Stegostoma tigrinum: one gene and its partner. The protein of the gene in region 1 purifies or fractionates together with the protein of each later gene. This does not show direct contact. Links are inferred from orthologs where the notes say so. Each region holds a gene or a part of one and is shown on either strand. Other genes may lie near its edges. The genes, in order: probable ATP-dependent RNA helicase DDX17 and drosha.

Region 1 (16,199 bases):
TTAGGCAGAAGAGGGAGGCTTATGTGATGTTGAGACGAGATGGTTCAGATGAGGCGATGGAGAGTTACAGATTAGCTAGGAAGGATTTAAAGAGAGAGTTTAGAAGAGCAAGGAGGGGACATGAGGAGACATTAGCAGGTAGAATAAAGGAGAACCCTAAAGCTTTCTATAGGTATGAGAGGAATAAGAAGATGACTAGGGTAGGAATAGGACCAGTCAAAGACAGAAGTGGTAAGTTGTGTGTGGACCCTGTGGAGATCGGAGAGGTGCTGAACAAACATTTCTCATCTGTTTTCACTCAGGAAAAGGAGAATATTGTGGAGGAGAAGACTGAGTTACGGACTGTTAGAATTGAAAGGATTGAGGTTAGTAAGGAATAGGTATTATCAATTCTAGAAGGTGTGAAGGTAGATAAATCCCCTGGGCTAGATGGGATTTTTCCGAGGATTCTCTAGGAAGCTAGGGAGGAGATGGCAGAACCTTTGGCCTTGATCTTTGAGTCATCATTGTCTACAGGTTTAGTACCAGAGGACTGGAGGATTGCAAATATTGTGCCCTTGTTCAATAAGGGCAGTAGAGATGACCCAGGTAATAATAGACCAGTGAGCCTTACCAGTTTTGGAAAGGATTATAAGAGATAGGATTTATAATCATCTAGCAAGCAACAATTTGACTGGAGATAGTCAACATGAATTTGCCAAGGGCAGGTCGTGCGTCTCACAAACCTCATTGAGTTTTTTGAGAAGGTGACCAAGCAGGTGGATGAGGGTAGGGCAGTTGATGTGGTGTACATGGACTTCAGTAAAGCCTTTGATAAGGTTCCACATGGTAGGCTATTGGAGAAAATGTGGAGGTATGGGATTGAAGGAGATTTAGCAGTTTGGACTAGAAACCAGCTTTCTCTAAGAAGGCAACGAGTAGTGGTCGATGGAAAATATTTAGCTTGGAGTCTGGTTACTAGTGGTGTGCCACAAGGATCTGTTTTAGGACCACTGCTGTTTGTCATTTTTATAAATGACTTGGACGCAGGCATAAGTGGATGGGTTAGTAAGTTTGCAGATGACTCTAAAGTCGGTGGAGTGGTAGACAGTGTGGAAGAATGTTGCAGGGAGACTTGGATAAACTGCAGAATTGGGCTGAAAGGTGGCAAATGAAGTTCAATGCAGACAAACGTGAGGCAATTCACTTTGGGACGAATAATAGAAAGATTCTTGGTAGTGTGGATGTGCAGAGGGATCTTGTTGTCCATGTACATAGATCCCTGAAAGTTGCCACCCAGGTTGATAGTGCTGTTAAGAAGACATACGGTGTGTTAGGTTTTATTCATAGAGGGACTGAGTTCCGAAGCTGTAATGTCATGCTGCAACTGTACAAAACGCTAGTGCAGCCTCACTTGCGTACAGTTCTGGTCACCTCATTACAGGAAGGATGTCGAAGCATCGGAAAAGGTGCAGAGGAGATTTACCAGGATGTTGCCTGGTCTGGAGCGAAGGTCTTGTGAGGACAGGTTGAGGGACTTGGGCCTGTTCTTATTGGAGAGAAGAAGGCTAAGAGGGGATTTAATAGAGACATACAAGATGATCAGAGGATTAGATAGGGTGGACAGTGAGTGTCTTTTTCCTAGGATGATGACATTGGCTTGTATGAGAGGGCATAGCTGCAAATTGAGGGGTGATAGATTTTAGACAGATGTCAGAGGCAGGTTCTTTACTCAGAGTGGTAAGGGCGTGGAATGCCCTACCTGCCAATGTAGTTAACTCAGCCACATTAGGGGCATTTAAACAGTCCTTGGATAAGCATATGGATGATGATGGGATTGTGTAGGGGGATGGGCTTAGATTAGTTCACAGGTCAGCGCAACATCGAGGGCTGAAGGGCCTGTTCTGCGCTGTATTGTTCTATGTTCTATGAAACTTCAACCGCCTGGTCAAGTTCATTCCCCAGGTCCAGTCTGGCCCCTTCCTGAGTTGGACTACTTAAATACTGCTCTATAAAACCCTGCTGGATGCTCCTTACAAATTCTACTCTGTCTAAACCCCTAATACTAAGTGAATCCCAGTCAATGTTGGGAAAATTAAAATCTCGCATCACCACCACCCTGTTGCTCCTACATCTTTCCATAATCTCTCTACATATTTGTTCCTCTATCTCACGCTCGCTGTTGGGGGGCCTGTAGTAAAGCCCCAACATCGTTATTGCACCTTTCCTATTTCTGAGCTCTGCCCATATTCCCTCACTGCTCGACTCCTCCAGTTCCCTCCTTTAGCATAGCTATGATATCCTCTTTGACCAGTAATGCAACTTCTCCACCCCTTTTAACTCCCCGTCTATCGCACCTGAAGCATTTATATCCTGGGATATTTAGTTGCCAATCTTGCCCTTCCCTCAATGAAGTCTCAGTAGTAGCAATAGCATCATACTCCCAGGTATTAATCCAAGCCCTAAATTCATCTGCCTTATGTACTACACTTCTCACATTAAAACAAATGCACCTCAGACCATCTGTCCCTTTGTGTTCATCATCTGCTCTCTGCCTACTGTTCCCCTTAGTCACACCTACTTAATCATCTAGTTCCTTACAGGCTTTAGTTACTACCTCTTTACTGTCCACTAACCTCCTCATTTGGTTCCCATCCCCCTACCACATTAGTTTAAACCTTCTCCAACAGTGTTAGCAAAAGCACCCCCTAGGATATTGGTTCCATTCTTGCCCAGGTATAGACTGTCCAATTTGTAATAGTCCCACCTCCCCCAGAACCGATCCCTATGTTCGAAAAATCTGAACCCCTCCCTCCTGCACCATCTCTCAAGCCACTCATTTATCCTGCCTATTCTTTTATTTCTACTCTGACTAGCACGTGGCACTGGTAGCAATCCTGACATTACTATTTCTGAGGTCCTACTTTTTAACTTAGCTCCAAACTCCCTAATTTCTGTTTATCCCATTTATTACTTATATCATTGGTGCCTATGTGCACCACGACAGCTGGCAGTACAACTTCGCCCTTCAGAATGTCCTGCAGTCCATCTGAGACATCCCTGACCCGTGCACCTGGAAGGCAACATACCATTCGAGAGTCTCATTTTCGACAACAGAACTGCCTGTCTACTCCCTTTACAATCGAATCCCCTATGACTATAGCCCTTCCACTCTTTTTCCCACCCTTCTGTACAGCAGAGCCAGCCCCAGTGCCAGAACCTGGCTACTGCTGCCTTCTCCTGGTGAGCCATCTCCCCCAACAGTATCCAAAATGGTATCAGAGATAATGGGAACTGCAGATGCTGGAGAATCCGAGATAACAAAGTGTGGAGCTGGATGAACACAACAGGCCAAGCAGCATCTTAGGAGCATAAAAGATGACATTTCGGGCCTAGACCCTTTCTGATGAAGTGTCTAGGCCCGAAACGTCAGCTTTTGAGCTCCTAAGATGCTGCTTGGCCTGCTGTGTTCATCCAGCTCCACACTTTGTTATCTCCAAAAGGGTATACCTGTTTTGGAGGGAGACTACCGCAGGGGACGCTTGGACTGCCTTCCATGTTTTTCTCTGCCTTTTGGTCACCCATTCCCTTTCTCCCTCAGCAATCCTGATCTGCAGTGTGATCAATTTGCTAAACGTGGTATCCATGACTTCCTCAGCATCGCGGATGCTCCAAAGTGAGTCCATTCGCAGCTCCAGAGCCATCATGCGGTCTAACAGGAGCTGCAGCTTGACACACTCGCTGCACGTGTAGAAGTCAGACATCAACCATGTCCCTGAGCTCCCACATAGAGCAAGTGAAGCTTAACATGAGTCTGGGATCTCCTGCCATTTCAACTTTTAAGCTTAGCTTAGACCTACCATAATATCAAATAATAGATAAATGAAATGAAAAAAATTTTACCAATCACTCTACTTACCAGCACATGATAAAAAAAAGAAAAAGGAAAACCTTACCTTATCAACACACCGCACTGGTTTTTTTTGGTTAGAGGAGGAGGGCATGTGGGAGACACTACACGTGTAGTGTCTCAGGTTTAGCCACTGCCCAAATATATCAGTTCACTCACTGGGTGGGAGCGCAATTCGACTGCTCCCACCCAGCTCCGCTGCTGAAATGAACAGCTTACCTTCCCAGCGGCCTCCTGGTCCTTGCTCTCACCACTCCTGCTGCTGCTGCAAAAATGGAGTGGCTCAGTATTTATTGCCATTCCTTGTTGGCTTTGAAAAGGTGAGCTGCCTTCAGTTTAATTATCCTGATCAATTTGTACTATGTCCTTTCACAGCTGACACTCTTCCTGAGGTCCAAATACAGTATTGCAAAAGGAATTTGTCCAGAGCTCTGTACATTTGTTAATATACCTTCTACTTTATTGTATGGAGGCTGACATTTTATTAACCTTTCAAATTATTATTTTGTACCTATGATTTCAGTATGTGAATCCCTAAATCTCTGCTGCTCCAGTCGTAATTGGGCTTGGCTATTGGGGCAATGATTTTAGATTGCAGGTGACAGAAATCTAAGAACCATAGAAAGCAGTGAGTAGGATAGTAGCGGAAACAAACAGAAAAGAAATTCAGGAGAACTCAGTAGGTTTGGCAGCAAATGTGGAGAGAAAGCAAAGTTAAACATTTTTACCGCTGTGATCCTCCTTCAGAATTTTAAGAAAAGTTGCAGGACTTTAAACGTTAGCTCTGTTTTTTTTCGCTCTCCACAGATACTGCCAGAGCTGCTGAGATTCTCCAGCACTTTTTGTTTCAGATTTCCAGCATACGTAATTCTGTTTTATTATTATCAGACTTTAATAAAGAATGACAGACTGGTGAAATAGGTAATCATGTGGAATATACTGACAAGAACAGTGAAGTGATACTTTTGGATTTCTATGTTGTATGGTTTGAACCAAAATCATTAAAAACAAGTTAATTTCTCATATTTAGTTCACAGGTTGGCGCAACATCGAGGGCCGAAGGGCCTGTTCTGCGCTGTATTGTTCGATGTTCTATGTTCTATATTTCACACACCCTAGCCCCCTTGTAGACCAACATCATTTAATTATCATTTCAACATTTATTCCCTTTTTGCCTGTTCATTGTAGTTGACAAAATTGATGATTATTTGCTCTTCTCAACTGGACACCACGATCTGATCAACTTGTTCTTGATATCTCACAATGTAATCTAACTCCATGTAGTCATTGATATACAGACAAAAAGTGTCCAAAAATAGCAATTTGAAAGTGGAACAATGTGGATGACAAAGTGCTGATTTTTGGGGAATTTCAGCAGTGACTATCCAGCACTCTGACAACTCCAACCACTGCTACAGCCAGGCTATCAATGTTCTACGTTTTACTTCCTATGGAACAATCTCCTACATGGCACTACATTAACAGGCTTGGTGAAATCTATCTAAAAAAAAACCATGGAGTGCCTTTCAGTCATAAGCTTTGATATTTCCTAACAGTTTAGTTTCTTCATTTTTGTCAGGAGTCATGTATTAAGTAAAGACAACAAGTGAATCTCCTGAAGAGAATAAAAAGTGTGGGGGCATTCTTAAGAGGGAAGTCAGGAGGGCATTTGGGAATATGAGATTGTCTTGACAGATAAGCTTAAGGATAATTCAAAGAGATTCTACAGGTACATGAAGAGCAAAAGAGCCTCTAGGGAGAAAATACAAATCAAGGTCATATATATGTGGAACCATAGGAGATTGGAGAGATACTAAATGAATATTTTGCATCAGTTTTTACAGTGGAGAAAGAAATGGAAACTCAGCAAAATAAATATTGATGTCTCGTGAACAGTCTACATTACAGATGAGGAACTGCTGGAGGTCTTAGAAAAACATAAAGGTGGATAAATCTCCACAACTTGATCAAGTCAATCCGAGGATGTTATGGGAAGTTAGGGAAGAAATTGCAGGCCGCTGGCAAAGATATGTGTGTCATCTACAGCCACGGGCGAGTTGCCAGAGGATTGGAGGGTGGCTGATGTTGTGCTCTGAAATAAGAAAGGCTGGAAAACCAGGAAACTATAGACCTGTCAATCGATGGCATCAGTTGTTGGAGGGAAAGAATTTGCATGCATTTGGAGCAGCAAGGACTGATTAGGGATAGCCAACATGTCTTTGTGTAGGGAAATCATGTCTCACAAATATGATTCAGTTTCTTGAGGATGTAACCAAAAGGACTGATGAAGGCAGAGTGGTAGATGCTGTCTACATAGACTTCAGTATAGCCTTTAAAATGGTGCCACATGGTAGAATGATGAATAAATTAAATCACATGGGATTCAGGGAGAACTTGCCAATTGGATGCAAAATTTGCTTAATGGTAGGACACGGAAGGTGGTAGCAGAGGTTTGTTTTCACCAACAGCATTCCAGAGGGATTGGTGCTGGGTCCACCTTTTGTTTCTTACTTATATTAATGATTTAGATGAGAATTTATGAGGCATGATTAGTAAGTTCGCAGATGACACCAAAATTGGTGGTGCAGTTGAGTGAAGAAGGTTATTGAAGATTCTGAAGGAATCTTGATCAATTGGGCCAGTGGAGTGCGAAGTGGCAGATGGAGTTTTAATTTGGATAAGTGCAAGGTTTTGCATTTTGGTAAAACAAACAAGGGCATGACTTATACAGTGAATGATAGGTTCACAGATAGTGTTTTTGAACAGAGACCATGGGGTTCATAGATCATCATAGAATCCCTACAGTGTGGAAACAGGCCCTTCAGCCCATCAAGTCCACAGCAACCCTCAGAGCATCCCACCCAGACCCATTCCCCATAACCCACCTAATCTGCACATCCCTGAACACTGTGGGCTATTTAGCATGGCCAATCCACCTAGCCTGAACATCTTTGGACTGTGGGAGGAAAACTGGAGCACCCAGAGGAAACCCATGCAGACAAGGGAGAATGTGTGAACTCCACACAGTCGCCTGAAGGTGGAATTGAACCCAGGTCCCTGGTGCTGAGAGGCTCCCTTGGTTCAGGTACATGGTTCTTTGAAAGTCACAGACAGGATGGTTAAGAAGGCATTTAGCATACTTGCCTTCATTGCAGTGACCAGTACAGGAGTTGGGATGTCATGTTAAGGTGCTACAAGACATTGGAGAAGCCACTTTTGGAGTACTCTATAAGGTTCTGGTTGGCCTGTGGTAGGAAGGATATCATTAAATTAGAGAGGATTCAAAAAGGTTTACCAGGATATTGTCGGCACTGGAGGGTTTGAGTCGTAAGGATAAGTTGGATGGCTGGTACTTTTTTCACTGGAATGTAGGACGTTGAGGGGTGACCTCATAAAGGTTTATAAAATCATAAGGAGCATAGACAAGGTGAATAACAAGGTCCTTCCCCAATTGTGAGGAGTTCAAAACTGGCCAGCATATTTTTAAGGTGGGCAAGAGAAAAATTTAAACGGGATCTGAAATACAACTTTTTCACAGAATGGTTCGCATATGAAATGAACTGACAGATGAAGTAGTAGAGGCAGATACAATTACAACATTTAAAAGAGATTTGGATAGGTACATGAATAGGAAAAGTTTAGAGGGATATGGCCCGAGCGAAGGCAAGTGGGACTAGACCAAAGTGTCTGTTTCCGTGCAGTATGACTCGATAGTGTCTTTTCTGCAGCCCCCTCACACCCCTTACTATTGGGGCCTTTGAATCTAATTCTGGATCTGATTTAAACTCAGGCTGTCATCCTGGTTACAAGTGGAAATCAGCAAATTTTGGAAATGCTGGCTCCACGATTTCAATACCAACATACAAATTAGGTACAGGAGTCGGGCATTTGAACTGTCAAACCTTTCTATCATTCCATAAAATCTTGGTTGATCTGACTGTGGCCTCAGCATAGCATACTTTCCTGTCCCCTTACCCTTAAATTATTGATGTGGAGGTGACAGTGTTGGACTGGGGCGGGCAAAGTCAGAAGTCAAACTACACCCAGGTTATCATCCAACAGGTTTATATGAAATCACGAGCTTTTGGAGTGCTGTTCCTTGGTCAAGTGAAGTGTTATTCCTGACAAGGGAGTCAATCGACCTGCATTTTAAGAATTTTCAATATGTTTATATTATTTTATAAATCCATCTCGTTGGAATAGAGTTCCATGGATTTCCAGTCCTGGGAGATCACTGTTCCCATATAGGACAGTTTAATTTTACACTGTATTTCCTAATTCCAGTCTTCCTGAGGGAAGGATTCTTTCCATTCACCCAATCAAAATCCTTCTGAACTGCCACAGAGATAGTACGAACTGCCGATGCTGGAGAATCTGAGATAACACGGTGTGAAGCTGGATGAACACAGCAGGCCAAGCAGCATCAGAGGAACAGCAAAGCTTGACGTTTCGGGTCGGGACCCTTTTTCTGAAGAGTCGGGACGCGAAACGTCAAGCTTTCCTGTTGCTCCGATGCGTTCATTCAGCTTCACACCGCGTTATCTCCTTCTGAACTGCAATCGATTTAGACGCACACTTTCCGCATGAAATAGCCCCTTCATCCAGAAATCAAGTTCTGAGGAAGGGTCACCGGCCCCGAAACGTTATCTCTTTTATTTCATTCAAAGATGCTGTCAAATCTGCTGAGCTTTTCCAGCAACTTTGTTTTTGTTCCTTCCAGAAATCAAACTGGGTAAACTTCGGATAAACTACTTCCAGTATCATCTTTCATAGGTAGAGTATACAATAGTCCAAATGCGGTCGCACCAACGCCCTGGAAACTTCCTATATTCCATTCCCCTTACAATAAAACACCTTTGTGTTAACCTTCCAGTACTTAGCTGTTGACATCGCTTCCTAATGCCTTTGGAAAAGGTGGTGTTTAACATACACGCAACAGTTTCCTAAACTAAAACTACATGAAGTCAGAACTGGGCAATTAACAGTAGGTTTTGATAAACAAGCCTTATTTCGCAGGCCGTCCTTTGAATGCTCGAACAGACAAGGATGTGACGTTTCTGTTGCTAGGTAGACTTTAATCCGGCGGGAGGAGGAAGCGCGGCTGTTCGCGACAGGGGTCCGGCGGGAGGAGGAAGAGCGGCTGTTCTCGACAGGGGTCCGGAGGAAAAGGGGTGTTCCCGACTGGGGTCCGGCGGGAGGGAGAAGGACAGCTGTTTCGGGTTTCGGCGCGGAGTACGGCTGTTCCTGTTCAGGATCCGGCGGGAGGGGGCTGTTCCCAACCGAGAATCCAGCGGGAGGGTCGGCTCTTCCGGCAAGTTGCTGCTGAACCTATCGCAGGAACTGCGGCTTTTCTTTGTTCCCCGACGCCGAGAATCGAGCGAAAATGAGAGGATTCGGTGGAGACCGTGACCGCGGTAGAGACCGAGGAAGGTAGGAGGCTGAACAGGACCGCACACTTACCACTCCGGGTCAAAAGAAGCAATTTGCAAGGAGCGGGTTTGGCAAGGAAGAGGCCTCGCACTTCCACCAGGCCTGGTTTCTAGGTCTGTTGCCCCGCCTAGGCCAGGCGGCGAATCGTGGCTGCTGACTTTGCCACCCGTGATCTCTGGCGAGGAAGCATTTGCGCGTAGTCGTTTGACGGGGTCCGGTATTTGAGTGACCCCGGGGGTTGAGGGTGGTTGTGTTCTGGGTCCCTGTCCGCCCCCCGTTGATCGGGGTGCAGGGAATCTGGGCTTGTGTGTGCCGTTAAAGGGATCTGAAAGGTCGTGGACTTTGATGCCCAGGAATTAGTGGGATGACTCAGGAGATGTACCTCCCGGTCGAGATGTAGGTGCGATGCTTCGCGGCCTGTGTGCTGGCGAGGATGGGATGATGAATGTGGGTCTCTGTCAGCCGGCCGAAAGGAGGGTTCCGGAGTTCTTGCGGGAAGATGGAGGGGGTCCGGCTTAGCTAGTGGTCCCGCCTTCCGTTGGCACTGCACTCTTATTGGTCGGGGACTGTTTTCTCTAAATTTGATTGGATCTTTTTGGTGTCCGTCTGTCCCGTTTGGGTCTTGCTTGACAGGTGTTTGACCCAATCAATGTGACTCTAGCCCGACCTCGCCTTCTCGCCCGGTAACGTACGTCAATGAGCCGTTCAGCGAGGCCTAGTCTGAGCAGCCGTGCTGTGTTTCTCCATTACTGGCTTGTCTTTGGTTCAGCCATTTTACTGTCGCAGGCGTAGAGTCGCCCTCCCTGGATGACACGATGACTCAACCGTGACCTAATTCCTCCAGTCCTCCCTATATCACTTACCTGTTTAAGCCCCTCTCATAATTTCACACCTTGGCAATGTTTTTTTTTAATGGTTCCAATCTTCTTACTCAGGGTAGCCTATAGTACTTACTAGCTGTACTAATAATAAAATTCACATGTAACATCTGATGTGGGCTTCATTTGTGGATTGCTGGCTGGGTTGTAGTTGTACCTATTTCTGACTAAGACTCAACCTCCTCTCACTAGTAATGGCCCACGGTTTGGTGGAGGGCCTAGCCGTGGGGGCCCATCACTTGGGAAGAAATTTGGACAGCCTGGAGAACGCTTGAGGAAGAAGAAGTGGGACCTGGAGGAGTTGCCAAAATTTGAGAAGAACTTCTATGTGGAGCACCCTGAAGTGGTTCGACTAAGCCCGGTGGGTATCTGAATGGATCTAGTTGCAAAAGTTGAGTGAGTTGTTAACTGAGATGTAACTAACTTAATTTGATATTAGAATTTTGCTGTAATCCTGCGATATGAAATATCAACTGTTGATTTAATTTTGAGTCAATTCCTCATAAAATAACTATCTTTGTATCTAACTTTGCTTCTCATTCCCCTAATGTGGTTATCATGTGACCCTTCCTATTGTCTATTGTCTAAACTGTCACTGCCAATATCACAATTGTCAATTAGGAAATTAAAGGAAAATATCATTGTGCTGGAAATTGCAAGTATTGAATTGCTGTTATGAAAATAAACTTAGCAAAATAGCAGTCTTGAAGAAAGTAATGGTCGAAAGGAATGACAAATCCCAAGACCAGTGGTTTTCAAATTTTGTTTAATTGACGATACTGCATGGCCTTAACTGTGACGTTTTACAACTCTCTTGTATCAGAACCTTCCTTCTAAATTGAAAAAATTATGGCGATTTAAAGCTGAGAAGAAAGCCAGAAAATTCTGGACCAGTTAGCCTAACATCTGTTGGGGAAAATTGCAGGAGTTTTTTTTTAAAAACAATATACAACTTCAAAGCTTTTAGCTGATCAAATAACCCCACAGGTGAACAGTCAGTCATGACTAATGAATATAGGTCGAATCACCTACCTGTGTTCCGATTAAGCCTGCTCTACCATTCAAACAGATCGTTTCTGCTCAGTTCTCTCTCTGCCGTATTTTTCTGTTTGATATCATCAGTATCCTGAAACCTATTAATTTTTATAATGTGTGCTCTGGTTTCTACTGGCATGTGGTGTAGGTGAGTTGAATTTTTGAAGAGGTGATTAAAGTAAAGGAAAGAATGTCGTTGCATATGGATTTTTTTTATGTGGACTGAAGACATTTCATCAAAGATCGTCAAAAGAAATTGTTAACTGAAGTTGCAGCTAATGAAATAGAAGAGAATTATTGACCATGTTAGGAAATGGATTAAGCAGCAAAAAACGAGAGTAGGGATAATGAGCAGGATTAATGATATTTTGTAGGTGGTTTTGCAGCTTCAGCTATTCACCATCAATAATAATGACTCATGATGGGGCAGAAAGTCACATACCCAGATTTTGCCAATGATGCAAAAGAGAGGTGTCATTGTGAACAGTGTAGGTAATATCACAAAGCATGATAAAAAAAATTAATTGAATAGAGAAAACTGATGAATAAAATTAAATGTAATCAAACGTATAGTAATTCAATCAGGTCCTAAAATACTAAAATGGGTGACTTTCTCTGGATTGGAAAGCTAGAAGCAACGGGGTCCAGATCATTAGATTTCCTGAACAGATCAAGAGAAGCTGACGGACTGTTGACTTTTCTGACTATATAATATATGGGTTAAAGTGGCAGTTCAACTATACAAAAGTGTGCTTACACAGCAACCAAGTGCAATTGATAGTTCCTGGAACCATTGTGGGAAGGTTATCTTAGACTTCAAGAATGCAGAGACAAGATTTACCAAAATAACACCTATTTTAATTTAAAAGGCATAATTAGACAGCTTACCTGAAACTACAATATAATTACTTGCAATAAATAGAAATTCTTAAGCACAGAAATCTGTTTTGTGCTTTCTACCAACCTCGGACTGAAAATCAAATAAAGTGGGAATTTTGCCTACTTTTTGAAATATTCAACATTGCTGACAACTCCAGGAAAAGCAGGACTTAATTTTCAGCATATTACCCAATGAGTTGCGACAGCATGTAATCCCCTTAAACTTCCACTTACGTACACACTCTCACACACGCACACGTATGTGGGGTTAGGAAAGGTGGAGCATGGACTGAGGGAGTAAAGGGAAAGCAGTTTAGCAGTCTTTGTTCACAAGATCTGTTGAATTGGTTCTTGCTGGTCAGAAGGTTTCTGTGACCTTTTCCAATTCCTTCTGGTTTGCAAGAGGTGCAGGATGACTGATTTCATTTATTCGAGGTCCCTGACCTTCCAATTGCAGCAACTATTGAATGGAAGATAAAATAGATTTCTTTGGATTTAAATTAGGTTTTGACTACAGAGAACAGAAACAGCTCCTGAGCTGTTGGAGATCTGATCACTTCTCTGGTTGTTGTGCACAGCCTCAAGTTACTCGGTTATCGAAGAGCCAATCACACAGTTGCTAGCAAATGAAATGCCTTTGTCATCAGTCACTGATCATTAGTCTATAGACCAGTTAATTTCTTGCTGTTAACCAATGTTAAATACGGAACTTCTTAGATTCAGTTCATCAAAATCAACATGGCTTTATGCATGGGGAAATCATGTCTCACTGACATGATTTCAGTTTTTTGAAAAAGTGAAGATGATTGATAAAGGCATACCAGTGGATGTTGTCTGTATGGACCTCAGTAAGGCGTTTGACAAGGTCCTGCCTGGTAGGCTGGATGGCAAGGTTAGGTCACGAGGAACACGGGGAGAACTAGTCATTTGGTTACAAAATTAGTTCGAAAGTAGGAGACAGAGGGTGGTGATTACTGTGAACGTAGAACATTACAGCACAGTACAGGCCCTTCAGCCCTCGATGTTGTGCCGACCTATCATACCGATCTGAAGCCCATCCAATCTACACTATTCCATGTACGTCCATATGCTTGTCCATGATGGAGGATTGCTTTTCAAACTGGAGGCCTGTGACCAGCAGTGAGCTAGGTCTGTAGTTTATTGTCATTTATATGAATGATTTGGATGTGAATATAGGAGGAATGGTTAGTAAGTTTGCAGATGACACCAAAATTGGTATAGTAGACAGCAAAAAAAATGATCACCAATTACAATGGGATCACAATCAGAAGGGCACATGGACTGAGGTGTGACAGGTGGAGTTTAATTTAGATAAATGTGAAGTGTTGCATTCTGTTAAGGCAAATTGGGCAGGGCTTATACTTAGTGGTAAGGTCCTAGGAAGTATTGCCAAGAAAAGAGATCTTGGGGTGCAGGTTCATAGTTTCAGAAAGTGAAGTCACAGATAGACAGGGCAGTGAAGAAGGCGTTCGGTAAGTGCATTGAGTATAGGAGTTGGGAGGGCATGTTCTGGCTATACAGAATATTAGTTAGGCCACTTTTGGAATATTGTGTTCAATTCTGATTTCCCTGCTATAGGAAAAATGTTGTGAAGTATGAAAGGATTTACAAGGATGCTGCCACAGTTTAAGGGCTTGAGCAATAGGGGAGAGGCACAATAGGCTGGAGCTCTTTTCTGTGGAACATTGGAGGCTTATAAAATCATGAGGGGCATGAATAGATGAGTAGCCAAGGTCTTTTCCCCAGGGCAGGAGAGTCTAAAACTAGAGATCATAGATTTAAGGTGAGCGGGGAAAGATTTAGAAAGGATCTGAGGGGCAGGATTGAGCTGCCAGAGGCGGAGATGGAGGTTAGTACAATGGCAGCATTTAAAAGGCATCTGGATGGGTACATGAATAGGAACGGTTTAGAAGGATATGGACCAAATGCTGGCAGATGGGAATAGATTAATTTAAGTTACCTGGTCACCATGGATAAGTTGGACTGAAGGACCTGTTTCCATGCTGCACATTTCTATGATTCTATCTGCAGCCTAATCTTAAATTGCTGCTTGTTCAAGCAGCTCTTTAAATGACGCTTAACCTGAGTGTTAAATTACTTGCTTTTCAAATATGCAACAGTTGAGGTTTTGAAAAGTTTTTCTTAGATTGGTCCACTTAAAAAGGTGCAATCTTTACAATCTAAAGCAGCTATTTCTGCTCAATAGGGAGTCTAGGACTAGGAGTATTATATGAAGTTAGGTGTGGATGCATGAGAAAATGGGAAATGCTTCTACCCAAAATCTGAGAGAAGTTTCAAACTTCTGCAAATGATAATTGATACTCGAACTACACTTGACCTTTTCAGTTGAAAGGATTAAGGGACATGGAACAAATAGGCAGTTAGGTTTCAAATCACCATGACTTGATAGAATGGTGGAGCAAACTGGAAGGGCTGCATGAGATCTGTGCTGGGGTGGCAACTGTTTACAATATGTTGATGACATTGAGTAAGAAAGCAGATGTACTGTGGCCAAATTTGCAGATAGAACATAGAGCAGTACTGGGCCTTTGGCCCACGATGTTATGTCAAACTTTTACCCTAATCCTAAGGTCCATCTAACCTCCACCTCTACCTTATAGTATCATCCATATGCCTATCTAATAGCCTCTTAAATGCCCTTAATGAGGCCAACTCCACTACCCTCTCTGGCAATGCATTCCACGCCCTGACCACTCTGAGTAAAGAATCTACCTCTGATGTCTCCCCTGTATCTACCTCGGCACACGTTAAAACTATGCCCCCTCGTAATAGCTATATTCACCCGAGGAAAACGTCTCTGGCTGTCCACTCTACCTATACCACTGATCATTTTGTACATCTCTATCGAATCGCCTCTTATCCTTGTAAAGAGAAAAGTCGTAGGTGCCTCAACCTTTCCTTGTAAGACCTCCTCTCTCTTCTCCTCCACACCACCCCCACTCCAGGCAACATCCTGGCAAAGATAATGAAATGTGAGGCTGGATGAACACAGCAGGCCCAGCAGCATCTCAGGAGCACAAAAGCTGCCGTTTCGGGCCTAGACCCTTCAGAGAGCATCTGCATCTGCAGTTCCCCTTATCGCTGATACAACATCCTGGCAAATCTCCTCTACACCTTTTCCGACGCTTCCGCATCTTTCTCGCAACGAGGTGACCAGAACGGGACACAATACTCCAGATGTGGCCGAACCAGGCTTTTGTATAGCTGGAGCATAACTTCATGGCTCTTGAACTCAGTCCCTCTGTTAATTTAAGCTAATATATCATACACCTTCTTAATAATTCCATCTGCCTGGGTGGCAGCTTTCAGGGAACTGGGGACATGAACTTCAAGACCCCTCTGCTGTGCCTTTTGGAGGGGAGCAAGAAAGAACTGTATTAGCTAAATTAGAGAAAAACTGCAGAACACTGCAACATACTTGGTGGTACTTGTCCACAAAACACAAAGCTAGCGAGTAGGTACAAGAAGTAATCAGGAAGGCTAATGGAATGACTTATTTCATGAGATTTGGAATGTAAGCTTAGAGATCTCTCAGTAGAATTGATCTTTCTCTGAACCTTCTTTGTAGCTGTAGCACTATATTCTGCATTCTGTTCCATTACCCTGACATACTTGTGTAAGGTATGATTTGTCTGGATGGCATTTAAAACAATACTTTTCACTGTATCTTGGTATGTATGACAATAGTAAATCAAATCAAATCAACTCTTTCTGCAACTCTCCAAGGTGCTGCTGAGATCAGGGTCCCCTTATTTAAGGAAAGATCTTATTTCATTGGAGGCTGTGCAGAGAAAGTTCACTAGGATGATCACTGGCATGGATGGATTGTCTTATGAGCAAAGGTTAAACAAGTTGGGACTCGACTGCTTGGAATTTAGATTGAGAGCTGATCGCATTTCAAACATAGGATTCTTAAGGGGCTAGATACAGTAGATACTAAGAGGATGTTTCATTTCAATAGTTTCAGAACAAAGGGGTGTCAGTTTAAGACTGGGACGAGGAGGAATTTCTCCTGAGGTTGCAGGTTCTGGAACCTTTGAAGTAAC
Region 2 (16,819 bases), on another chromosome or scaffold:
ATGTTTCAAACAGCGGCACATTTAATCTGTATTCAGGGGGCAGTTCTGCTCACAACACTGAAGACATTTTGTTACTTGTGAATGTGATGTGGGTGCTGTAACCAATCCTAACTGCCCTTTGAAATAGCAATTAAGAGTCAATCACATCGCTGCACACTTGGAGTCATATGTAGACCAAATTAGGTAAAAACCGCTGATTTTCTTCCCCCAAACAATATTACTGAATCAGGTGGGTTTTTATGAAAGTTGACCGTGGTTTCACTACTATAGAGACTGATTTAATTTAAATTCCACTAGTCGCCGCGGCAGGATTTGAACTAGTGCCCCCAGAACACGAGTTTGGATCGTCGGATTGCTAACCCCATGACAATACCACTACTCCACCGTCTGACCATGTTAGGTGGAGATCCCTCCAGGAGATACCTTTGGGAGCCATCAGGTGGTTTAGGAACTGGTCCAAGCAGCTAAAAGGCAAGTCACGTATTAACAATTGGGCACAAGCCACAGGAACAGGAGGGGTGAGAGAAAGATGTGATGTGCAGAAGTGAATGAAACAAGAAAAACAAGCTATCCAATCAATTTCAACTGAATAATTCAGCCAGAGATAGCAAGAACTGCAGATGCTGGAGTCAGAGACAACACAGCGTAGAATTTCTGAAGAAGGGTTCCAACCCAAAACGACAACTTTACTGCTCCTCGGATGCTGCCTGGCCTGCTGTGTTCCTCCAGCTCTACACTGTGTTGTCGCTTAATAATTCAGCCAACCCATTTTCACCTATTTAAGTTCCCATTAACAGCTTTTGTTTCTTCCTGGCTTACCTTTATCCATCCCTTTGTCAGCCTAACCATCTTCCTCTATAGGCTCTGTCTTCACTCCCACTTCCCACCCTACCCCTTTCCTTCTACTTTTTTCAGTGTAGATATCACCTTCACCTACCTATTAATAATTCTGAAGGGGCACTGGATCCAAAACATTAACTCTGCTTTCTCTCTCCACAGATGCTGCCAGACCTGTTGAGTTTCTCCAGCAATTTTTGCCTTTGTTTCAGATTTCCAGCAACTGAATAATCCCCCTGTCAAGAAAAATGTTGCTGCTTTATTGCAAAGTTATTTCATTTACCCAGGTATTGCTGCCCATTTTTGTATGCTTTCTTCACTGTCATCTTCACACAGATCTGCAAATGCAGCTTCCATATCTTCTAGCTGTCTTGTACGAGCTTCCACACAATCGATCAACGCCTCCTGGGGGGACAAGATATAGTTTTCAGATTTGTTTTTAACAATTGTCTTTAAATCAACGTTGCTAACATCAGAACTTCCTTGCTTTCAAAAACGTACCAACTCCTATACCTTCTGATACGTCCCATGCTTTGCTCTCAAAAGAAATTATTCTGTTAAATCCATCACATTTTAAATGGGAAGTACACTTTTCATGTTGAGATGTTTCACTGTTGGAGCAGGAGTAGACCATTTTTCAGCAGAGGTGTTGTGGCCCTCAGGTTAAACCACCATCAGTCATCTCTGTTCAACAGGACTGTGGTAACTTTTACACCCCAGGAATTAGTCTGCTTTTAGAAAAAAGGTTACTGCTCCCGAGCAAAATTGTAACAAAGTTGCTGGTCCATAGTTACAGTAGTGATTAATACTATCCTCATTTCCATCGAGAGAAAATAGCAGAGATTCTGTCTCTGTCTGATACAGTCACAGGATATAAACACACTGAATTGGCAAGCATATTCTTTCAAAAAAATCATAAACAGCAAATCTCAACAGTTGAAAAACCTGCAAGAAAACATTTTTGTTTCTTCAAAATTAACATAGCCTCATGTTGCGCTAAAAGCAACTATATTTGATCTTCACCTACCTCAGAGTCTTCCTGATCAGGTTTGTTAAAACTATACAACTGCTTGAGAATTTCATATTCTTCCTGAGGGACAAGATGAAAGTGATTATGAATAAATACACTGTCAACAGCTTAAGCATGAAATGATGCTTGTTCTCATTTAACATCCCCTGTCTTGCTGCAGTATTTAGGTTGAAAACAATCCTAATAACAAATCTTTCTATGCATCCCTCTTTTAGCTTTTGTAAAGAAAAACCTTGCATTTTGATAGCACCTTTCATCAGCACAGGACAGGCTGAACCTATTTTACAGTCGGTGTAGGGTCTTCACTGCTGTACTGTGGGAAATTCAGCAGCCAGCTTGCACACAGCAAACTCTCACAAACAGTAACGTAATAACATTCAGATCATTAGCTTGAGTGATACTGGGTGAATAATAAATACTGGGCAGGACACCAAGGAAAGTACCAGTGATCCTCCCAGGATATGTCACAACCACCTGAGTGGGCAGGAGGGGCTCACTTCAACATCATTCACCCTAAACGCCTTAAAGTGCAGGAGCCAGTAAAAAGACGGGTGGTCATAGTAAGAATGTAATTGGATTAATAATCCCAAGCCCCAGGCTGACGTGCTGTGCAAACAGGTTCAAATCTCAGAGTGGCAGCCAGTGAAATTAAAAAATAAATCTCGAGCTAAAAGCTAACTTAGTGGCAACACATAACCACGGTTAATTGTTGTAAAGCTCCCTCTGGTTACCAATGCCCTTTAATTAAGGCCATCTGCCATCCTTTCCTAGACTGCCCTCTGTGCAATTAGGGACCAGGCAATATCTTGCATTGAATACGACTCTCCTTCAGAACAATTACCTGCTTGTTTCCCTTAAGAGTTCACATTCACAAGCTAATCCAATGGTTTCTTTTCCCTGTCCATATACGTTACCCCAACAACAAAGTGAAGCCACACACACAAGATGTGAGAAGATCATAGGTACGCAAAACAGACCAACAAAACTCTACTAGTAAACATACAGGTAAAGTTCAGAAACCTTTTGTCCTTAAAGCTAGAATTAAGAAAAAGCACCTCGGTGTACATTTCTTTAAATGGATTTTTAACTGAAAAGAAATCCAAATCAATATCCAGGATGAAAGCATCTCTTTTGTCCAAGACATGAAGAAGATCCTTCACGATTTCCTTCTCCGGCTGTTGGACAGTCTGAGGGCTTGTCGGTGCTGTGTGGGGTGGAATGGTCTCCTGTATGTCTCTCTCAGCTGTGGAGTGTGAAACTGGACAAATGTTGTCACCATTAGATCTGTCCTCAGACAGCTGATTGTTCTCTTTGGGGGCCGAGGCACACATAGGCCCGGGAACACCTTCTCCACTGGTGAAATGTTCCATTTTTGGTATTTTGCAGGCAGATGCTCCAATTTCCTCTGGTTCCTCACAGTCATCTCTGCTCTGCTCACCTGGGTCTATCGGGATGACCTGTAACCCTAACTGCTTCCTGTTCTCCAGCAAACTCTCCGACACGTACAATCCATCACTCAGAAAGTAGCTCTCAGCACTTGTAACCCTGATACGAAAACACAAAAAAAAATCAGAATGAAATAATCTTTGCACATTCAAATAAAACATATGTGTCACAAATGCATGTATTTTGGAGAAGACAAACTGGAGCTGGCAGCTCAAAAATGATTAGATTTACACATCCTCTGGATATCCTTCCTTACACCTCTCTCTCTGTTTCCTCCTAGAACCACTCCTTTGACCAGATTTTTCATGGCCTGGTTTACTAGCTCCCATGGTTTGATGCCTTCACTCCTGCAAAGCCCTGGGACACAATACAAGTGTAACTTGCTGTTGCTGTTTCAGTCCAGTATCTGTCATCCCTGGAAATGGCAACAGGGAGAAAGCGGAGATGTGCAAAAGCTTCCTTTTACAGACTGCTCACAAAATTGGGAATCACTAGTTTTGATTCTTTATTCTTTCACCGGCAAGGCCATCATCTGTTTACCATCCCCAACCAGCCTTTAACTGAGTGGTTTGTTTGGCCATTTCAGAGGGCAGTTAAAGCCAATTGCTGTGGGTCTGGAGTCACATGTGTCTCAGACCAGGTAAGGAGAGCAGGTTGCCCTCCCTAAATGGACATTACCGAGTCAGATGGGTTTTTATGACAATCGATGATAGTTCCAGCATCATGAATATTGAGACTAGCCTTTATTCCAGCTTCTTTATGAATATTAGGGGGTGCAATGACCTACTGGCATTCTTGCTAGACTATTAATCCAGGGACCCGTGTTCGTGTCATACCATAACAGATGGTGGAATTTGAATTCACTAGAAATCTGGAATTAAGAGTCAACGATGACCATGAAACCATTGTTGATTGTTGGAAAACCCATCTGGTTCTTTTGGGAAGGAAACTGCCATCCTTATTTGGAAATATAATATTGCCGTTCTTTCACTGTCACTGGGATAAAATCTTGGAATCCCTCCCTAATGGCATTGTGGGTCTACATACTGCATGCGGACTGCAATGGTTCAAGGAGGGACCTTGTCACCATATTCTCAAGGGCAACTAGGGATGGGCAATAAATTGTCGGCCTGGCCAGCAACACTCACATCCATTGAGAGCAAAAAGAATTTATCTGATCTGGCCTATGTGATTCCAAACCTACTGCAATGTGGTTGACCCTTAACTGCCCTCTAAACAATTAGGAAATTGCATTAAATACTGAGCTAGCTAGTGATGCCAACTTCCCGTAAATTAATTTAAAAAAAAAACTGAATTCAAATCCAACCATTTTCCATGATCGGATTTGAATCCATGCCCCCTCACCCCCAATCATTAGTCTAGGCCTACTGTTCCAATAACATTACCACTAGGCCACCAGCTCCCATCATGTGGGGAATTGAGAATGTACATCTGCGATCTGTTTATCATTTTGTAGAACAGCAGGCAAGACACTAACTGTAATCAATAGCACACTCAGTTCTCAAGACAAACACCGCATTCAACGCTCTGAGAAAATATTACTCTTAACCTGTATCTTAAATCATGACCCCTTCGTTTTTGAACAGCAACCTCGTATTCCAGATTCTGTCAAGGTGCCTCAGGGCCTTCAGTTTTCAGGCAAGTTGCCTCTTAAGTCTTCAAAACACCAGTGGATGCAGGCATAGCCTGGCCTACCTGTCACTGAATCTCACAGTTCACAAGAGGCCCTGTGGCCCATTGAATCTGCACCAAAACAAACCTATGCTAAATTTACACTAATTCCATGTTCCAGCGCTTGGCCCTTAGACTTTAGTGCTATGACATTTCAAGTGATCATTCAAGTACATTTTAAAGATTTCCTGATGAGCACATTTTAGGCATTAATCTAGTAAACCTTCTCTGACCTGTTTTTCAATGCATTTCTGTCCTTCTTTGAATAAGAAGTCCAGAGCTGTACACAATGTTCCAAAAGTGGTTTCACCACTGGCCGGTCCAGTTGAAGCATAACTTCCCGATATTCCTGTCACAGTAAACAGCTGCAATACCTGATGGTTTTAGTTGAAGAATCTCTACCAACAAAGAAGCAGTGTTTCCCATCGGTGATCTGCTGGGCCCACAGAGGGTGAAGCCAAAAGACGTCAGAGAAGTGGCCAGCGTAAACAACAGGCATGATCCAGTTCTCAATGCTCAGGTCTCTATATTTAGGGCAGAGCGGGGAGAAAAAAAAATTCTGATCACTTTTCTAAGGACAAATAAGAAACTGAAGTGAGAGAAACAGAACATTTGCTTCCATTGAACTAGATAATGGCATCACAAGGTGCTTCATTCTTGCTAAATTATTGTCAAGTCCCACAACTGAAAAATCTCCCTGATTGGAGAGTGTTTCCCAGATTTAAATATTGTCATTCCCAAGACTTGAAAGCAAGTCACCATCTACTTCAGTGTCTCGTCCAGCCTCCTTCCGACAGCACCTTCCAAAACTATGACCTTTACAACATTGAAGGGCAATAGGTGCATTGGAACACGATCACATGCAAGTTCCCCACAAAGCCACGTACCATCCTGATTTGGAACAATGTCATCATTCCTTCAGTGTTGCTGGATCAAAATCTTGCATCTCCCTCTGTATTTACAACGTGGATCTACCTACAGCAAATGGATTGCCAATGGTTCAAGACAGCTGCTTGTTAAGTTTCCGACCCACATCCCCAGAGCGTTACTTCGGGCTCTGAATTACAGGTCCAGTGATTATATTGTGATGCCATCACCTTTGGAACATCAATTGCTCTTCAACTGCGATAATTAATTACTCATTCTCCCAACCCACTGAACAGTAACTGTATCTATTTACCTAACAGGTTATAATTTGTAAAGGAGAGATTATTTATAGTTATTTCAACAAGGACAGAGACACAGATTATTCAGCATTTAAATGCAATAAAAGCCAAGTCACGTTACCCAAAAAGCAGCTCTTTATCAAACACACTATCAGCTAACATGTCAATTGGGATTAGAAGGTCTGGGTGTGAGTCCAGGTGAACCAGGGCTATATTTTCAATTGGCAAATGCTTTGAACCAATTGCTCGATAGATGAATGGTACCACCTGAAAAGACAAGAACAGAGAGAATGTCCCGAAGAAAGCTTAAACAGGAAGAGGGTGAGGTGAAATTAACATTGTTAAATTCTGAAACTTCAATCAAGAATCACCCAGAGTCACAGTCATGGCTAAACAACACATTTACCCCCCTTCCACCAACAGGAACATTCAACCAATTTCTTTGTCAAGGCCCCCTCATGAATACTAACATTTCTATCAAAGCTCCTCTCAAAGTTGTCTTTTTGACGAACAGTTGTGGTGGTGTTGGTGGGTGGGGCTGGGGCAGGTGGAGTGTAAAACATTGTTCAATCTTCACATTAAAGACGTCTGAAAATCTCAGGTGGAGATGGTGCCACCAATCCTTGTTGTATTTTTAATTCAAGGCATTGGGTCCTGATCTTGGGCCATCTGTTCCAGAGATAGGATCACTACCACTGCATAAAAAGACCATTCCAACCCTTCTGATAATCCTAGTCTACATGCTTATTAGTACTAAATGGTGAAGGATTAACCAGTAAATCTTCTTTGGCACAAAAAACACTTAACTTGGGTAAAAAGTAGTAATTTATTGCATTAGAAAGAAGATAACATGTTACATTAACCTGAGACTGAAACTATAATACACTGAGTATGGTTGAAAGCAGACCCAGGATAAGTATGGTTACTTCAAGACTGAGGAACTCCTCCCACAGACTCTCATGCTTACACACATACACACTGGGCTGTCTATATCAAAACTCATGTTACTAGAATCTGTCATGCTTTTCCTCTCAGCAATCATCATTTCATACATCTCTGTATTAAAATGATTTAGCTCACTCACATGGTCCTGGGAGTGCCCAGTATCAGAAAGCGTTGGGAGTAGCAAGTTGCATGACCGTTGTCAGGTAAAAATAAAGGAAGAACAACAATCCTGGGGTTCTAGCTCTGGAATGTTCAGTGAATGGCTTTACAAACCCAGGAAAATGTTCCAATTCCCAGGATAATGTTGCAATCACTGTGACAATGCTACAATACTTGGACAACATTCTAATTCATGGGATGTTGCAGTTCCAAGGACAACAATCCTGGGGCAAAGTTCTAATCTCAGGAATAATGTTACAATCCCAAGGGCAACATTCCATGTTTCAACGCAACCTTCCAGTACTGGGATAATGTTCCAGTTTCCAGGACAACCTCTCAATCCTTGGGGCAATATTCCAATCATTGCAAATAATGTTGCAATATTCAAGAAAACATTGCAATCCCAGGTCAATGTTACAATCACCAGGACAATGTTCTAGTCCTCAGGCGACCTTTAATTTCCAAGATACCATTGCAACCCCCTGGAAAACAGTCCTATTGCTGTGATAATTTGCAATCCCGGGGACAATGTTACAATCGCCAGGACAGTGTCCTAATTCCCAAAATAAAGTTCCAATCCCCAGCACAACATTCCAATACCCAGAAAAACGTTCTAATTCTTCAGACCACCACTCAATCCCTAGGAAAATGTTGCAACCCCCTAGGAAAACATTCCAGTTCTTGGAACAATGGTCCAACCCCAGAGGCAACCTCCCAATTCCTGGGTTAATATCGCAATCCCCAGGGCAATTTTCCATTTCTCGAGACAAAATTCCAACCCCTGGAACAACATTCCAATTCGTGGGAAACGTTGGAATTCCAGGACAATGTTCCAAACCCTGAGAAGAGGCCGCAATCCCTAGGGGCAACGTTACAAATCCCAGGACAACCGCCCAATTCCCTGGGGAAAATGTGGCAATCTCCAGGGTAAGGGTCCAATTCCCGGGAATGACACGGCGGGTGGGTGGAGAGGGACCGCTCTTACATCTTGATGATCCTCCACGACCCAGACGGGAAGCTGGGGGTAGCGGCGCAAGCAGCAGGTGACCCCGCTCATGTCTGCAGGGAGGACCCCCTCACTGCCTCTCCCTTAGTCCTCAGAGCCTCCGGGGGAAGCACATCCTCCGTCGGACCTCATCCCTCGACCTACGTGATTGGAGGAAAACGAGTCCAGCACCAGAAACGTGCCGACCTGAAGCAAATGCAAAAAGGCCCCAAGATTGCTTTAACGCTGCAGGATCGAATCTCCTGCAGGGCTTTACCTGCTGAGCAGCAAATGCTGCTACCTTTATGTTATATATATAAAAAAAACAAAGACCTTTATGCTCGTGTTTGACCATTTATTGAATTTTGCATCGATCCGAGTCCAATCCTAAACTTTAAATCGCTTCCGTTTGTGTGAAGATTGCAGTTGACCCCAGTTGTGTTTTCATGGACACATATTGAAATAACATGCAATTTCTAAGAGGCTGCTTAAACATTCCCTGTTGCCAACCCAGTGTTTGCAACCAGGATCGGAGCATGTATCCGCCGGAATGTTGCGGGTGTTTCTTTTTCTCTCCGGCATTGTGACGCCGCCATGTGTCTGTGAGGAGCCAATGGGGACAGAGCATCGGGTCTGCTACTTCCGAGAGTTTCCGTCTCAGCTTTCTCCTCCGCTTCCTGTGCCTGAGGGAGAAAAAATACACCGCCAGCAGCTCGTGAAGTGTAAGTCCCGCAGCATTGACTGAAATGCAACAGGTTATTTAGAGTGGGAGCGGGTTTGCACTGTTTGATCTAACGATGTAGGGGCGCCGTGCAGCTAATGCGGTGGGGTGGAAACAGTAACAGGGGAGGGAATTGCAGCGTTGTGGAGAGGAACACACACGATGTCACTGCAATCACTGATACACAAAAAAAGGAGGCTGAATTAGTGGGATGATTAGGGAAAAAAATGTTTTATCAGTGTTTAATTCCTCAGGGCATTGTGACCATTGATTGCTTGTTCTTGGAGCTTCCTCTGCGCAAATAGTGTGTGTTCCCTACGCTACAACAGGGACCGCATTTCCACACCATCACGGTGAAGATGCCACATCAGTGTAGTTTCTTCTCCCTGCTTCTCTGCCCCAAACCTCTTGAAGTTTCATTGCCTCTCCCCTGGAGTTACCCACTGTGTTGATATGCAGCCCTCTGCTGCAAGACGTGTAGTGAACATATTCGGTCGGCGTTGAACCTGTTTAAGTTGTAATTGTTGGTAGCTGGGAATGTTGTCTTATTGGACCGTTGTATTCAATGTTGCAAGCTGATTTTAGACCGCACACGAGGCTAAATTCAATTGAGAGTAGAAGTGTGCTGCACTCTTGCAGTGGCAGGATTCTTGGCAGTGTGGAGGAACAGAGGAATCTTGGGGTCTGGGCCCACAGATCCCTCAAAGTTGCTACCCAAGTTGATAGGGTTGTAAAGAAGGTGTATGGTGCATTCGCTTTCATTGGTAGGGGAATTGAGTTTAAGAACCGTGAGGTTATGCTGCAGCTCTATAAAACCCTAGTTAGACCACACTTGGAATATTGTGTTCAGTTCTGGTCACCTCATTACAGGAAGGATGTGGAAGCTTTAGAAGTAGTGCAGAGGAGATTTACCAGGATGCTGCCTGGACTGCAGGGCAGGTCTTATGAGGAAAGGTTGAGGGAGCTAGGGCTTTTTTCAGTGGAGCGAAGAAGGGTGAGAAGTGTACAAGCTGATGAGAGCCATAGACAGCGTGGATAGTCAGAGACTTTTTCCCAGGGCGGAAATGACTATTACGAGGGGGCGTAATTTTAAGATGATTGGAGTAAGTTGTAGGGTTCTTTACCCAGAGAGCGATGGGCATGTTGAATGTGCTGCCAGCAGTGGCAGTGGACCACTTTAGAGACTTTTAAGCAACTCTTGGATGGGCACATGGAGGATAGTGAAATGTGGCATGTGCAGGGTAGATTGATCTTAGAAGGATAACAGGTTTGTACAACATTGTGGGCCAAAAGGCCTGTACTGTACTGTGTTCTTTAACTTAAAAAAGGAGTTTGTATGAAATAATTTCATTGCAACCTGCTTGGATACAGATCATTTAAGGACATGAAGGTATAACCTCCCTTGACAATGTGGACGAACAGGCCCTGAATGGTACTCTGAAATACCACTTTTAAAAAGAGGTGATTGGAAGAAAATGTGGGACAAAGGACATTTTCTTCACCACCTCTGAAGATTTTCTGACTTGGTTTTCCTTGTTTTATGTTCTTGGGATGTGCATTGTCTGGCTGGGCCAGCATTTGTTGTCTATTGAACCCTACTTTCTATCACAGCTTGGAGACCACTGTCAGTCCTTAAGGTGTAAGGACACTCAGGGTGCTGTTGAGGGAAAGAGTTCCAAGATTTTGACCTGGCAGCAACAAAGCAACTGTGATGTATTTGCAAATCAGGATGAGGTGTGGCTTGATGGGGAATATTCCGGTTGAAAGTGTTCCTCTGTATCTGCTGCCCTTGTCCTTCTGGGTGGCCGAGGTCATAGGTTTGGAAGATGGTGTTGGAGGCTTGATAATTGTATTAAGTGGCATAAAGCAGCAAAGCACAAGGTTTGATACACACAATGAGCTGAATTAGTTGGCACTGGCCAGGATAAAATGATTCTTGGCCTCAGTGCCCAGGCTAGACCTGAAGAAGGAGAAAGTTTCATGAGTGACTTCCCCCTCTCTCTGCTAGTAATCAGTAGTTTTTCAATGATTGGACTTAAGACTGTGACGCTTAGCCAGGTTCAGCACACAGTTATGATAGACCAAAAAAAAACATGGGGTATATGTCCATAGGAAGGAGTTCAGAATATAAGTTTTGTTTACACTTCATGAACCCAAGAAAAGTAAAATGCTGAGGTTGATACAAGCTTGAATTCTTAACAGGATAACAAAGTGTGGGGCTGGATGAACACAGCAGGCTAAGCAGCATATTAGGAGCAAAGAAGCTGATATTTCGGGCCTAGACCCTTCATCAGAAAAGGGATTGGAATAATTAAGCAATTGTTTTGGACTGATGATAATGCAATGGGCCAAAGGGTCTTTTTCCTGTGCTGGAAGACCTCTGACAGTGTGGAAAATATCTAATCGCTGAAGGATTAATCCTCAGAGTCAAAAATATTCCTGGCATTTGTGTGCACAAGTGTCTATGCCCCTACCAATTTTATACATCTTAATTATATCCCTCCTAAGTGAGCGCAGCTTCAAGTAAAACAATTCCAGTCTGCCCAATCCCTCCGTAACTAAAACTCTCCAATTTATGCAACATCTTGGTAAGTCTCATCTGCACCTCTCCAGTGCTATCGCAACCTGCCTATAATGTGGAGCCCAGTGTTGTCTGAGAACCCATGCTGTCTCTTTCAGATGTGGCAACTGTGCCATGCATTGATACAGCCACTTGGATTAAAATTGCATCCACTCTGTTGTGGCTGCACGGGAGTCTCAATTAAGCAGAGGTCTCACCTGCCCGCCTGGGTGGATATGGAGATTCCATGCCTATATTTCGAAGAGGAAAAAGTGTGTTCTCTTCAGTTGTCTTGACCATATTTGTCCACAGCACACAGATTTTGTTCCTTTCCACATTGCTGTTTGTAGGAGTTGCTGTACACTAATTGGCTAATGTTTCTCCTATGTTACTGCAATGAAGTACTTTAAGAGTATTGAGCAGTACTGTGTTTTGGGACACCCTGTGGCTGTGACAGTACTATTGAAACTCATGCTAACATAAATTAGAAGCAAGAATCAGCTAATCAGCCCCTCAGTGCTGCTCCACCAGTCATTAAGATCACAGCTGCTCTGAATCGATTGTCAAATCCACATTCTTGCCTTCCCCTGAGAACGTTTCACTCTTTTGCTTGGTGAGGACCCATGTTGGCCTTAAATATTCAAGGACTTGGCTATTATTTTGGTAAACCTCCTGTGAACTGTCTCTACATTTTTACTTAAACGAGAAGACCAGTACTGTGCACAGTACTTCAGTGTCTTCTCACCAATATTCTCTAACTCAAATATAACCTCCTTACCTTTCAGGCCAAAGACGTGGCAGTGGGTGACCACATGGGTCCCAGCTATGCCTCTTTCTAGGGTACATGGAACATTCCTTGTTCCAGTCCCATTCCAGCCCCCACCCACAGCTCTTTCTCCGATATATTTGATGATATCATTGGTGCTGCTTCCTTCTCTCATCTGGGATTGGGAAAGTTTACCAATTTTGGCTTCCAGTTTCCACCTCGCTGTCACCTTCACCTGGTCCATCTTTGATTTCTTCCTTCCCTTAAGGCAGGATAGACTCGATGTGTTGAATGGTCTAATTTCTGCTTCTATGTCTTATGGTCTTCCCTTCCTCAATATCTCTCTGTCCGGGGATGGACTGGCCACTAATATCCGATACAAACCAACTGACTCCCACGGTTAACTTGACTGTACATCCCCACACCCCATTTCCTGTAAAGATTCTTCCCTTCTCCCAGTTCTTGTTTCCATTGCAGCTGTCAGAAACACCCATCTTCTTCCTCAACCAAGGATTCCAGTCATAGTTGACAGGGCTGTCAGCATGTCCAACCCACCTTCCAAACTTTGGCCCCCACCCCTTCAACAGTAAGGTCCCCCTTTTCCTCACCTTCAGTCCCACCAGCATCTACAGCCAGCGGACCATTATCCACTATTCCCACCACCAGGCACACATCTCTCCCCTCCTTTGACAGCCTTCCTCAGGGACCAATCCCTCTGGGACCCCCTGGCCCACTCTTCCTTCACTCCTGCCACACCCACTGCAGCCCTCCCGCACCTTCCCTGCCTACCTTTTCAGCATCCAAAGTCCCGAACATACCTTCCAGGTGAAGTATCAGCTTACCTGCATTTCACTCTGTCCAATCTACTGCATTCTCTGCTCACACTGTGGTCTTCTCTATATTGGGGAAACAAAGCATAGACTGGATGACCACTTTGCAGAACATCTATGTTATGTCCACAAAAAGACCAAGCTACCTGTTGCCTGCTCCTTCAACACACCATGTTGTTCCCTGGCCAACATCTTTGCGTCAGGCTTACTGCATTGCTCCAGCGAAGCTCAGCGGAATTGGGAAGAGCATCACCTTATTTTTTGCTCGGGAACTGCACGGCCTTCTGGCTGTGATATTGAGTTCTACAATTTTAGGGCTTGAGGCACCTTCTCCCATGTCCATACCCCCAACCCTTAACAAATCAGGACTTGTTATCACATGGTCTGCTGTTATACATATGTAATTGATAGCCACTAATAGTCCCCGTTAGCAGCCAATCATTCTCCTAGGTTGACCGTTATCCACTCGTTGTCTGTCAAACTATTCTTCTGTCTCTTTGGGCTGTATCTCTACCTATTGTTTACTCTTTACTCCCTCCACCCACCCTATTTGCTGCTGCAGTAAAACACTTCAAGCTATAATCACACAAAACATTAACTTTGACTTCTCTCCACAGATTGGCTGAGTTTTTCCAGCAATTTCTGTTTTTGTTTCTCTCTAATTTTATCTTAAATTCTCTTTGCGATGAATGATAGCATTCAATTAGCTTTCTGAATTGCTTGCTTTACCTGCAGACAAATCTTCTGAGATTCATGCACTAGGACACCCAGATCCTAGGCTAATATATTAGTTAACCAATCCTCTAACAGAAAACAAAGAGTGGGGATAAATGGGTGTTTTTGTTTTGGTTGGCAATAAGGTTAGTGGTGAGCCTTGGATCAGTGTTGGGACCTCAACTGTTGACAATTTACACAGATGATTTAGAGTTGGGGACCAAGTGTAGTGGATCAGTGTTCCCAGAAGACATTAAGTTGTGTGGTCGAGCAAAGTCTGTGGAGGGATATCGAAAGGCTAAGTGAATGGGCAAGGGTTTGGCAGGTGGAGTACAATGTTGGTAAATATGAGATCATCCATTTTGGTAGGAATAACAGCACAATTGACTATTATTTGAACAGTGAAAAATTGCAGCATGCTACTGTGCAGTGGGACATGGGTGTCCGCGTGTATGAATCACAAAATGTTAGTTTGCAGGTGCATCTGGTAATTAGGAAGTCAATTGGAATATTACCCTTCATGACTAGAGGGATGGAGTTTAAAAACAGGGAGGTTATGTTGCAGCTATATGGGGTACTGAGTAGACCACACCTGGAGTACTGTATTCAGTTTCATTGGTTGAAAAAGGATGTACTCGTTCTGGAGGTTCACTATGTTAATTCCAGAGATGAGAGAGTTGGTTTGTGAGGAGAGATTGAGTAAACTGGGACTATACTCATTGGAATTTAGGAGAATTGGGGAGTTCTTATTAGGAACATATAAAATTATGATGGGAATAGATAAGATAGAAACAGGGAGGTTGTTTCTGCTGGTGGGTGAAACTAGAACTAATAGGGCAGATTTAGGACTGAGTTGAGGAGGAACTTCTTCACCCAAAGGGTTCTGATCTGTGGAATTCCCTGCCCAGTGAAGCAGTTGCGCCTACCTTGTTGAATTTTTATGAGGCAAAGATAGAGAGATTTTTGAATAGAAAAGAAATTAAGGGTGATGGTGAGTGGGCAGGTAAGTTGGACTAAGTCTACAGAAAGAGCTGCCATGATTTTAATGAATGCTGCAGCAGGGTTGAGGGGCCAGATGGCTGCCTCCTGCACCAATTTCTGATGTTCTTAACCATCTACACCTCAGCTCTACCATCACACCATTTAGATGATATACTTCTTTGATACTTGATAATTTCAGTTTTCTAACATTATACTTCATTTGCCCAAGAAATTGCAGCCCGTCACCTATATTGTTTTGCGGCCTGATGTCCGTTTCATCCACCTATGGAAATCTTTGGAAGTTTCTGCCCCTTCAGATCAATCAGTTCTTTTTGCCCCCGAGTGTCTAACAACTGCACGGTGGGATTTGGTTGTGGTGGACACTGTCACATGCAGATACGTTTAAAATTGTTCTAATCGCCATCTTTACTGTTCTGTTTTTAATGTTCAAAGGGAACTATGTCATTTCATCCGGGCCGAGGGACCTCTGCGCACACGTGTCATGGAGTTATCCCGAAGGTTGGGGGTGCCCGGGGCAGGCCTACCCCCGGGGGTCGGGTACCCCAGCAGCCCTTTGAGGCCAGTGGTGGCGGCTTTCGGCCTGTCCACCCACCGCCTCCATTATTCCCCCCAGATCAGCAGCTCGCTCCGCCGATGCCGCCTCCACCCCTGCCTCCTCCTCCCCCTCCTCCTCGCTTCCCCAGCCCGCAGGGCCCGGCTTACCCGGCCCCGGGCTTCTTGGCCTACCCGCCACATATCCCTCAGGCCTCGGAGCCTCGCCCAGGGCCTGTTGGCCAGCAGCAGCAGCAGGGCCCATTGAGGGCTAGGCCTCCCTACCCCGGCCCTCCGGTAACACGACCGGGATTCCCGTGCTTCACGCCGGTACCGAATGCGGTAGCGGCAGTGGCGGAGCGTGGGGGCGGCTTCCAGCAGCTGATGGCCCAGGCTCCGCTCCTACCCCCGCATCAGGCGGCTTTCCAACCCCCGTACCCGCTGCCTTACCCCCAGACCTACCCGCTCCAGCATTTCGGTGCCGGTTATCCTCCGGGCCCGGTTGCCGGTGGTTACCCACCAGGGGTAGGTGGAGCCATCTCCCTGGTTCCCCCAGGACCTGGCCCAGGCCCAGGGGGTTACCACACCTCCCCGTCACCACAGCAACCGCCATCATGTCCAGGTCCGGGCCCGGGGTCGGGGCCTCCGGCCGAGCACTTCCGGGACAAGCCTCCGCGCGCGCCGCCCGCCAAAATGGCCGGGGGCCGGCACGCGGCCGAACGCGACAACCGCCAAAAGGACAGCAGGGACTACAGGGAGCGGGGGCAACGCCGGAGCCCGCCTGAGGCAAGGCTCCAACACCGGGAGAGGTCCAGGGACAGGGACAGGGACAGACCCAGGCCCAGGGACAGGAGATCGGACAGCGGCCGGAGGAGGATCAACCATGAACGGGACAGGACACCGGGACGGCACCGGGACCGGGGGCACAGCAGGTAGGGGGGGCATTTAATTATAAACACCTGGGGGCACAGCAGGAAGGGGGGGAGTATCTAATTATAAATACCCGGGGGCACAGCAGGAAGGGGGTAGAATTTAATTATAAACACCCGGGGACACAGCAGGAAGGGGGTAGAATTTAATTATAAACACCCGGGGACACAGCAGGAAGGGGGGGCATTTAATTATAAACACCCCGGGGGCACAGCAGGAAGGGGGTAGAATTTAATTATAAACACCCGGGGACACAGCAGGAAGGGGGTAGAACTTAATTATAAACACCCGGGGACACAGCAGGAAGGGGGTAGAATTTAATTATAAACACCCGGGGACACAGCAGGAAGGGGATAGAATTTAATTATAAACACCCGGGGGCACAGCAGGAAGGGGGTAGAACTTTAATTATAAACACCCGGGGGCACAGCAGGAAGGGGGTAGAATTTAATTATAAACACCCGGGGACACAGCAGGAAGGGGATAGAATTTAATTATAAACACC

What was found.
Region 2: the proteins of probable ATP-dependent RNA helicase DDX17 (region 1) and drosha purify together in Homo sapiens (co-immunoprecipitation; 3 studies listed by IntAct, with this or other methods). This does not show direct contact. The link is inferred for Stegostoma tigrinum from reciprocal best matches to the Homo sapiens genes DDX17 and DROSHA.

Annotation. Positions count from the first base shown.
Region 1 is NC_081391.1:819,184-835,382, reverse strand, and holds the start of probable ATP-dependent RNA helicase DDX17, read left to right. Parts: upstream 1-9,063; 5' UTR 9,064-9,272; coding exon 9,273-9,319; intron 9,320-10,389; coding exon 10,390-10,558; intron 10,559-16,199. UniProt on the Homo sapiens protein: As an RNA helicase, unwinds RNA and alters RNA structures through ATP binding and hydrolysis.
Region 2 is NC_081355.1:5,187,259-5,204,077, reverse strand, and holds the start of drosha (ribonuclease 3), read left to right. Parts: upstream 1-8,876; 5' UTR 8,877-8,982; intron 8,983-8,989; exon of another isoform or gene 8,990-15,285; 5' UTR 15,286-15,291; coding exon 15,292-16,316; intron 16,317-16,819. Other genes in the region: c2h5orf22 (UPF0489 protein C5orf22 homolog), read right to left, coding at 1,121-1,242, 1,865-1,927, 2,923-3,412, 5,380-5,529, 6,293-6,438, 8,261-8,332. UniProt on the Homo sapiens protein: Ribonuclease III double-stranded (ds) RNA-specific endoribonuclease that is involved in the initial step of microRNA (miRNA) biogenesis.